2 linked regions of the Nothobranchius furzeri genome follow. Each later gene encodes a partner of the first gene's protein in a complex. Links are inferred from orthologs where the notes say so. Each region holds a gene or a part of one and is shown in the gene's direction. Other genes may lie near its edges.

Region 1 (4,130 bases):
AATGTCAGGATTATTCCAGATAGGTGTGCGTCTGCATGGTACTAGTGAAGACTCTGTCATTTTTAGATACTCCCACCATGCTGTCAGAGAGGTGCTGATACTAATACTTTTGAAGCCTTCGTGTTTTCTTATGCTTGAGCTAATAAATGGTAAGTCTGAAAGTTCTATCGTATTGCAAAGTATCTGTTCTATATCTAACCAGGACTCATCTAGTGGGTTATCTTGCAACCATCTTGGTATATATTGCAGCCTGTTGGCTAAGAAATAATAATAAAAGTTGGGTAAGTCCAGTCCTCCTCTGTCTTTGGTCTTCTGAAGTGTTTTAAAGCTAATTCGTGGAGGTTTATCCTGCCAAAGGAATTTAGTAATTGAGGAGTCCAGAGATTTAAACCAGTCAGCTGGTGGTTTGTTTGGGATCATCGAGAATAAGTAATTTATTCTGGGTAAGACCATCTTTTTAATTGTAGCAACCCTCCCCATGAGTGATATCGGTAAGGATTTCCATCTTGCAAGATCATCTTTCACTTTCTTTAAAAGTGGGATGTAGTTCAGTTTGGTTAGATCTGCCAGCTTGGGAGAGAAATTAATTCCCCGGTATGTAATATTCCCTGACTCCAATTGTGTATTAAGCAAATTGACAAAAGAGAAATTAATTGGTAGAACTATGGATTTTAACCAGTTTATAGAGTAATCTGAAACTCTTGAAAAAGAGTTTATCAGTTCTATTGAATGGGAGAGAGAGGATTGAGAATTCTGGAGAAAGAGTAAAACATCATCTGCATAAAGACTGATCTTATGTTCTATTTTCTTACACTCTCTATTCTGTTGTTTGATTCTTACAAGTCACAAGTAGTTTTATATTCCTTCATAAAAAGTCAGCAATAAATATTTATTTCCTGATTTTTCAACCACTTGCTAGAGCAAATTATCCCTGATCAGCTTGAATATGCTACATTTCTGCAGAAAATAAAAATGGAGATGTTGGAATATTTTACTTTACAATTTTCAGTATTAACTAATGTTAGCTTATGGTAACTTACACTAAAATATATCCTTAATAAATGAAAGATGAGTACGAGACAGATTTTATGACACGAAGTGGTTTAATGTTCTTGTTGTAGTTCTTCCTATGACCACCGGAAGGCAGTAAGCGCCATGACCTCCTCTACTTCACTCTGTTCTTCCGCTGTTTCCATGTGACGTATTTCCGTTTTTCCCATTGCGTGTTGCAAGCTAAGCTAATAAACGCAAAAATGTGTTGAATTTGTTGACAAATAGAGCCGTAAATACATTAATATCCATGGCTATGGGCTGCCGACTGTTTCCGTTAAGTGCTCTTACAGAAAACTCTTAGATAAATGACGACGTAACTCTCAGTTTTTTTACTTTCAGGCGGATATTTTCATCCCAATAACGTTGCATGAGCGATTTTAAAAAGCGGTAAGTGAATCTAGTGTTTTATTTGTGAGAAACCGTTTTTATAATAAAGTTTTTCATAACAAAAGTCTTTATGAAACCAAAATAACACAGTGGCTGCTCAAATGAAAGGGTCAACTCGACTACTGGATAAATTAGGGAAAGATTGACTGGATAATCAAAACAAAGTAAACGTTTCATAATAGCTTTACGTAAATGGAGTTCAGGTTGGACAAGTACAACTTTGATTTTATTCATTGATCCAGATGTAAGAAAAACTTCTAAACAATTATTTAATACAAGTTGGGAGATTCAAGCTTTCTCAAAAATATCCTAAAAGCTGATCTTCTTTAGAAATCAGCTATAGGTGGTGATCAGAAACACATTCAGCTGAAGCGCTGATAATAAAAAAGGACAACTGGACATTTTCCCCTGTGCATGAACTCACCATCACTAATTCACTCCAGCTATGATTTCCTAAACTTGCACGTTTTTGCCTCCAGAATCATAATTCTGAAGTTATTAAAATAAATTATTAAAATGTTTTAGATTTATCGCACAGTGAGGGCAGGTCAGAGCTGAACAAAAATCAGACTTGGGTATCGACCCCAAAAGCAGAATCAGTGTAAACGTTTATCACGAAAAGATAAAAAAGAAAACAAACCTTTAAAGCTAAAATCACCCATTTAAATGTGTCTTTGCCCTTGTCTAGCAAGTTTATACTGACTCAGACTTGATACTGATGCCACCACAAAAACACAGAAACTCACATTTTTATGCGTTACTCTTATTTCAAAGCTGGAATCTTTGCAATGTATTATTGTTAAATGTAAAATAAGATCAGACACATAAACAATAACATAAGAGCAGCCAGCTGCTTCATTCGCTAACATCAGAATTAACTAATCAACTGTGTTGGTGCTGAGGTTCAGAATCGTTATTAATATTGATTATTTTAGTAAATATTATAATTTCATATCAGCTTTGTTACAAGTAAATTTAGTCATTTTTAAAGTTTTACAGAATCTGAGATTTTATTTGGTTTTAAATCTTCTGTCCTTCCTTCTTTCTTTAAATCTGTTCTTGGTTTGATGTAGTTTGACAGATTTGACCTTTGCCCTTGATCGATGTTAGAAAAGATGTGATGATGGTTTGGGTCGTGATGAATTCCTATTTTTCTCTCTGGTCATCTTAAAATCACATCAGCACCTCTCATATGTTTTAGCATGCGGGTCATTGTGATCTAAACCAGGTGCTGCCATGAAGGGCAGAGAGGGTTCATAAGATCTACGTTCAAATTCTGTCATAAATAATAAAAGTCTGATTTATTTAGGTCATTTTTACTCACACTCTAAACATTTGCACCACTTCACCTGAATTAAAGCCACCTGCTCCTCCCTCGGCAGGCGCCATGGCAAATTTGGAGCAGTGGGTGAACGACCGGCTGCATGACATCCTGGGGTTGAGCGATCGATACGTCCCTCAGTTCATGATCGGCCTTGCTCGGAAAGCGTCAAGCTCTGAGGACTTTGTGAGTCGCCTGGAGCAGACGGGGACCATCGACATCGATCAGACTGTGACAGCGTTCGCGAAGGAGCTTTATGAAAAGGTTTTTATAAAATAGTGCTCGCGGAACCTCGTGTAGAGGCTCGTGTGCTGATCTTTCTCTGCTGTGTTCCAGATTCCCCGTCAGCAGGCTGTCGAGAAGCCGTCCAAGGCAATAGAGCGACAGGCTATCGAAATGGAGAGGAAGAATCGGACGTACACGTTGTTGGAGGACAGTGACAGCGAGAGCGACGAAGTGGCTGCAAGGGAAAAACAGAAAGGAAAGAAGAAAAGTAAAGAGAAAGACAGAGGAAACCAGAAAAGGAACATCAGACAGAAGAAAGACTCGTCGAGTGAAGATGAAACTCTTCAAAGGTTATTTATTCGTTTATTTAGGCTGAGCAAAAACAAAGATAGTCAAGGCAACAAGGCTGGACTGAAAACGGGAGAAAAATCAGCCAAAGAGTAAAGAAAACATTTAAAAAGGTCGAAGAGCAGCTGATCCAGAACCACAGAACATTCTTCATCTCTACGATGTTTTAAATGAGGATCCAAGCTCAGGAACATGAACCTTCATCCTGGTTTGTTGTTTCTGATTTCAGGGGCGATTCTTTCCAGGAGGACCGAACGTCTGTTAAAAGAGAAGATGATGAGGAAGAGGAGTGGGAGAAGGAGGAGAGGGTACGGCTGGAGGACATCAAGGAGAGAGACGCATTTGCTCAGAGGGTGAAAGAGAAGGACAAAGAAAAGACCCGAAACATCGCCGAGCGGACGGACAAGAAGGTGGGAGGAGGAGGATGGCAGCATCCCGACCCGTTGTTTTATTTGTCATCTTCATCCGGTGGAAAATTTTCCTGCTGTGTTTCTCCTGCAGGCTTACGAAGAAGCTCAGAAGCGTCTGAAGATGGCTGAAGATGGTCAGAAGAACATGGTTGGTGCTCGTGTCCCGATCTCCTCCAGCTGCCGAGTTCACGGTGACTGTGTGACTTTTCTGCTTGCAGCTGCCAGAGTTGAGGAAACAATCTCGTCGGGAATATTTGAAGAAGAGGGAGGCTGAGAAGCTGGAAGACCTGGAGGCTGAGATCCGAGACGAGGAGTACCTATTCTCCGCGGATGAACGGACTGAGAGGGAGAAGAAGGATCTGGAACACAAACGCACCGTCTGGGAG
Region 2 (4,191 bases), on another chromosome or scaffold:
TGTTTATTTATTTATGGATTTTTTTTCTTCTTTCAAATTTTCAAGTACACTTCAGGTATTTTACTTGTACTATTTTGGATACACTGTCCTCAGGCTACAGCCTTGTTTTATATTGATTGTATTAAAACAAAGAAAACCATCTGAAGTTTTTTTTAATTTACCGGTTCGGCCCACTTGGGACTAGATTTCCCTCAATGTGGCCCCTGAGCTAAAATGAGTTTGACACCCCTGGTTTACACGGTCAGCGATTAGTCTTCATGTCATGCACTGGGTACAGACAGCGGTTAGCTGACTTCCGAGGACTCGCGATAGGGAATGGTGGGTCGCTTAGGGACTATCAACAAATTTGTAGTCCTTTGTAAACGAGTACAAAATTGTTTTTAAACTTCCAGAATAATTTCCTAAATGACTCAAAATTACTTCTGACATGTGTTACTAAACTACATTTACAAGACACAACAGTTTTAACACATTTCACTCAATCTGATCTTTTTTATTAGGATTTTATTTCAAAATTAAGGGACTTATAGCGAGTCCTCGGAAATCAGCACATCGCTGTGCTCAGTGCACGGCATAAAGACTTATCGCTAACAGTGTAAACCAATGTCTGTCAAATATCCAACGTCCAAGTTCAAGCTAACTTTACCGCGGTATTTTTCTCCACTTACTTCGAACACACCAAGTGTGTGATAACGTCTCTATGCATGTAGCTCCGTTCGTACATGGCAGCTGATGGGAGGTTATCCAGGTAGACTCGCTCGTATTCTAGGACTGAAGAAATAACCGAACCAGAATTAGCGGGATTTACTGAAAAGTGGATTCGCGCAAACCATTGTGGTAAATTCAGTGTCATTAACCCACCTCTTCGTTTCTTTGTCTTTGATGCTTCATTTGGCATGGGTCCAACCCAGTCTGTACTTTCATCATTTCCATCTTCATCTTGAACATCATCAGCTTTTCGTTTTAACTCCAAACTGTTTTCAACCTCCGCCATTGCTGCACAGCGTCGTGTGGTCCTTTCGTAATTACGGCACTTCCGCTGCGCTCTGAATTTAATTTTGCTCCGTCAGAAACTTAGCGAAATTTATTAGAGATTGTAAATTTTTAAGTAATATTTTAGAATGCACCCTAAATTATAAAACTGGATTATATTTTCGTATTTTAAGTGTAATAGAAGCTTAATGCGGAACTTGTTATTATGCTTTGTTTCTATGGGCCTATTAACGCTGAACATCGTGTGGATTCAACCATTTTCACTTTTAGGGGCTGAGCCTGCGATTGTTTTTGATGTTATGTTGTCGTTAGCGGTTTAGCTGGTTGTTATGAACGTGAAAAAATATTTTCAAAATGAAAACATATAAACATCTTAAATAATTATCATAAACAGCAGAGTATACTAAATAAAAAAGAGTAGTACATCAGGATTCCCCCGTGTTCTCTGAAGTAAACACTGCACTAGCATGGCTGTTGGAGGATAAGTGTGAAATTTGCAACATTCGGGAAAAGTACAAGCAGTTATCAGGATTACTAACCGTTTATCTATTATACATTTTACGTGAGTTGAAGGTATAAAGGTGTTAAAGATTAGAATTTCGTTTTTTTTTCGAAGCACATAAGCAGATTCACCTTCAAAATGAGTAACATATATATCCAGGAACCTCCAACAAGTGGAAAGGTGAGTGCCTTCCTATCTTTTTATTTTGTCTGTATTTACATTAAGAACATGCAGTGTAGCTTTTCCTTGTAAAGTTTATACACATTTCGTTGAAACCAGCTAGTTGTTGATATGTTACCAGCTAGTTGTTGATATGTTGCTAGTAGGAGGTGAACGCGTGTGCCATAGAAGTAGCGGGATGGTAGGAGAAGTTAGCCTGGCAAGCGAGACAAAATAAATATATTATTTGCTTTGCAAACTTCTGTGCAAAAAAAAAAAAACTTTGCAAAGAAAGATTTTGGTCTAGTTCACTAGGCTAGGGAGAAGTAGTTTTATATGTAGATATGTTTTGCTGTGCTGCTTTTCAGGTGCTGATGAAGACCTCAGCAGGGGAAATTGACATCGAGCTGTGGTCCAAGGAGACTCCTAAAGCATGCAGGAACTTTGTGCAGCTGTGCATGGAAGGTAAGGTAGACCGTGCTGTTAAAAAACGGTCCGTGGAGGAAAAATCTGAAATTCAGAAGTTGTGGATGATGCATTCCAAAAAAATACAAGTATCCATATGTACATATTGATATTTACTGCAGTACAGATATCAGTGAACCTCATGTATGTTAAAGGGGGTATATTATCCATTCATCCATCCATCCATTTTCGGCTGCTTATCCGGGGTCGGGTTGTGGGTGCAGCAGTAGGCCCAGACTTCCCTCTCCCCAGCCACTAAGGCCAGCTTCTCCAGGGGAATCCTAGGGAGTTACCTGGCCAGGTGAATGACATTGTCCCTCCAGCATTTCCTGGGTCTTGCTTTAGGTCTTCTCCCGGTTGGACATGCCCGGAAAACCTCACCAGGGAGGTGTCCAGGAGGCATCTTAACTAGATCCTCCTCAACTGGTTCCTCTTGATGTGCAGGAGCAGCAGGTCTGCTCCGAGCCCCTCCCAGATGATCAAGCTCCTCACCCTATCTCTAAGGAAGAGCCCAGCCACCCTGCAGAGAAAACTCATTTAGGGCGCTTTTATCTCCAATCTCATTCTTTCGGTCACTACCCAAAGCTGAAAAGATAAAAACACTTAGTTTTAGTGTCAGTTCATGACCCAGCTCATCTTTCTCAAACAGGAAGCTACGTTTTTAAAACCTTTGTTTTGGCGTCAGACTCCGGCTGCAGGTCTCCTTTTCTCGTCTTCCAGCTAAACAGCGGAGCTGTCAGCTGGTCATTCATCCTTCTCCTCCTTTATACACAAGAACCCACTAAACTACAGAGAAGTAACAATCTGTCACAGATCGCTGCTATATAACTTTTGCCGTGAATTCTGTTTCAATGCTCCGCAGATCCGCTCCATGTGACAGCTCACACCCGCTGTCACAGAGCTTCCTCTGTCCACAATTTATCTGATGGTCTAAAAAAGGTAGTTTAATTATTTTAGTATAACTCTGGTTTAACTTGTTCTATTAACAGAAATAAAAACTGGTGGGTATTGAAACTGAAGCTCAGAGAGGCGGAGTCTTGCTGCTGCGGCGTCCCAAAAGGTGTGTTTTCATTGGTCGGTTGCAGACAGGAGTCCCAGGTTTTCAAGCATGCTTGAAGACTTTTTTAAGCTGATTTGGTCGTGAGACGGCTCAAAAAGTTGTCGCAGAGCCGGCCACACTGTATTTTTTTTTGTCACGATTCTGCTCAGGACTAGGAATTTGGCAAAGACAGCCGAAAATCATACAGTGTGATCTGGGCGTAAGGGTATAAAGCTGGTCCAGTAGGCACATTTTGTCAGAGTGGGCATGGGCGGAGTTTCACTGTCTCTCAGAGAGACGAGACGCTGGACGCTCTCCTGAGCCGACAACCCGCTCCTGCAGCTGTCGCTTCTGTCACGTTGGGCGAACCATCGGACACGCCACTCGTCACAGATGAAGCTGAACATTCACCTCTCCCTTCAGTAAGACAAGCAGTAAGTGTAGCAACACAGTGTTCTCCAAATATACAATATCTGAAAAAATGATTAAAGTTGTTTTACTGAATATCCTAATCATCTATGAAGCACACGACAGCTCTGGATGCTAAAATTCTCCTAAACAATTCATAATTGAATAAGTTTGACCACGCGACAGCTTACCGTTAACTTCTGCGGACAAAAATATGAGCTCTTAACAACAAACACTCTCCCTTTCGGTTCCCATGGAGACGCATTTGCAGCACACACACCACTGCTTTTGTCCTGCTCTCGCTTCATCCCGCCCTTCTTGCTCTTCATTTTGATGCTCGTTTTGTGAAACATAATCAGTGATGTCATCATTAATGTTTCGCTCTGGTTCAAATAGAAAAGGCTGAACAGACGACATGTCGATGTCGCTTAACAGTCACTACAGGGTCCCAAAGCCGGCCGGTGCAACCGAGGTACAACCGTATGACGTCACCACCCAGAGTGCATTGTGACGCTAACAACAATCGCGAACTACGAGTTAAACTATTTTTTACAAATTTTATAAAAATGAAGACATTAAAAAGGTTTTTTACACCACTTAAATATAACTGATACTAACATTTATC

What was found.
Region 2: dhx16 (region 1) and cwc27 share a complex: the UniProt entries of both Homo sapiens proteins name them as parts of the minor spliceosome. The link is inferred for Nothobranchius furzeri from reciprocal best matches to the Homo sapiens genes DHX16 and CWC27.

The regions. Positions count from the first base shown.
Region 1 is NC_091745.1:60,403,098-60,407,227, forward strand, and holds the start of dhx16 (pre-mRNA-splicing factor ATP-dependent RNA helicase DHX16), read left to right. Parts: upstream 1-1,222; 5' UTR 1,223-1,440; intron 1,441-2,822; 5' UTR 2,823-2,827; coding exon 2,828-3,025; intron 3,026-3,097; coding exon 3,098-3,336; intron 3,337-3,563; coding exon 3,564-3,744; intron 3,745-3,835; coding exon 3,836-3,892; intron 3,893-3,962; coding exon 3,963-4,130. UniProt on the Homo sapiens protein: Required for pre-mRNA splicing as a component of the spliceosome. Contributes to pre-mRNA splicing after spliceosome formation and prior to the first transesterification reaction.
Region 2 is NC_091746.1:63,257,032-63,261,222, reverse strand, and holds the start of cwc27 (spliceosome-associated protein CWC27 homolog), read left to right. Parts: upstream 1-1,322; 5' UTR 1,323-1,633; coding exon 1,634-1,675; intron 1,676-2,022; coding exon 2,023-2,119; intron 2,120-4,191. Other genes in the region: ppwd1 (peptidylprolyl isomerase domain and WD repeat-containing protein 1), read right to left, coding at 669-771, 862-994. UniProt on the Homo sapiens protein: As part of the spliceosome, plays a role in pre-mRNA splicing. Probable inactive PPIase with no peptidyl-prolyl cis-trans isomerase activity. As a component of the minor spliceosome, involved in the splicing of U12-type introns in pre-mRNAs.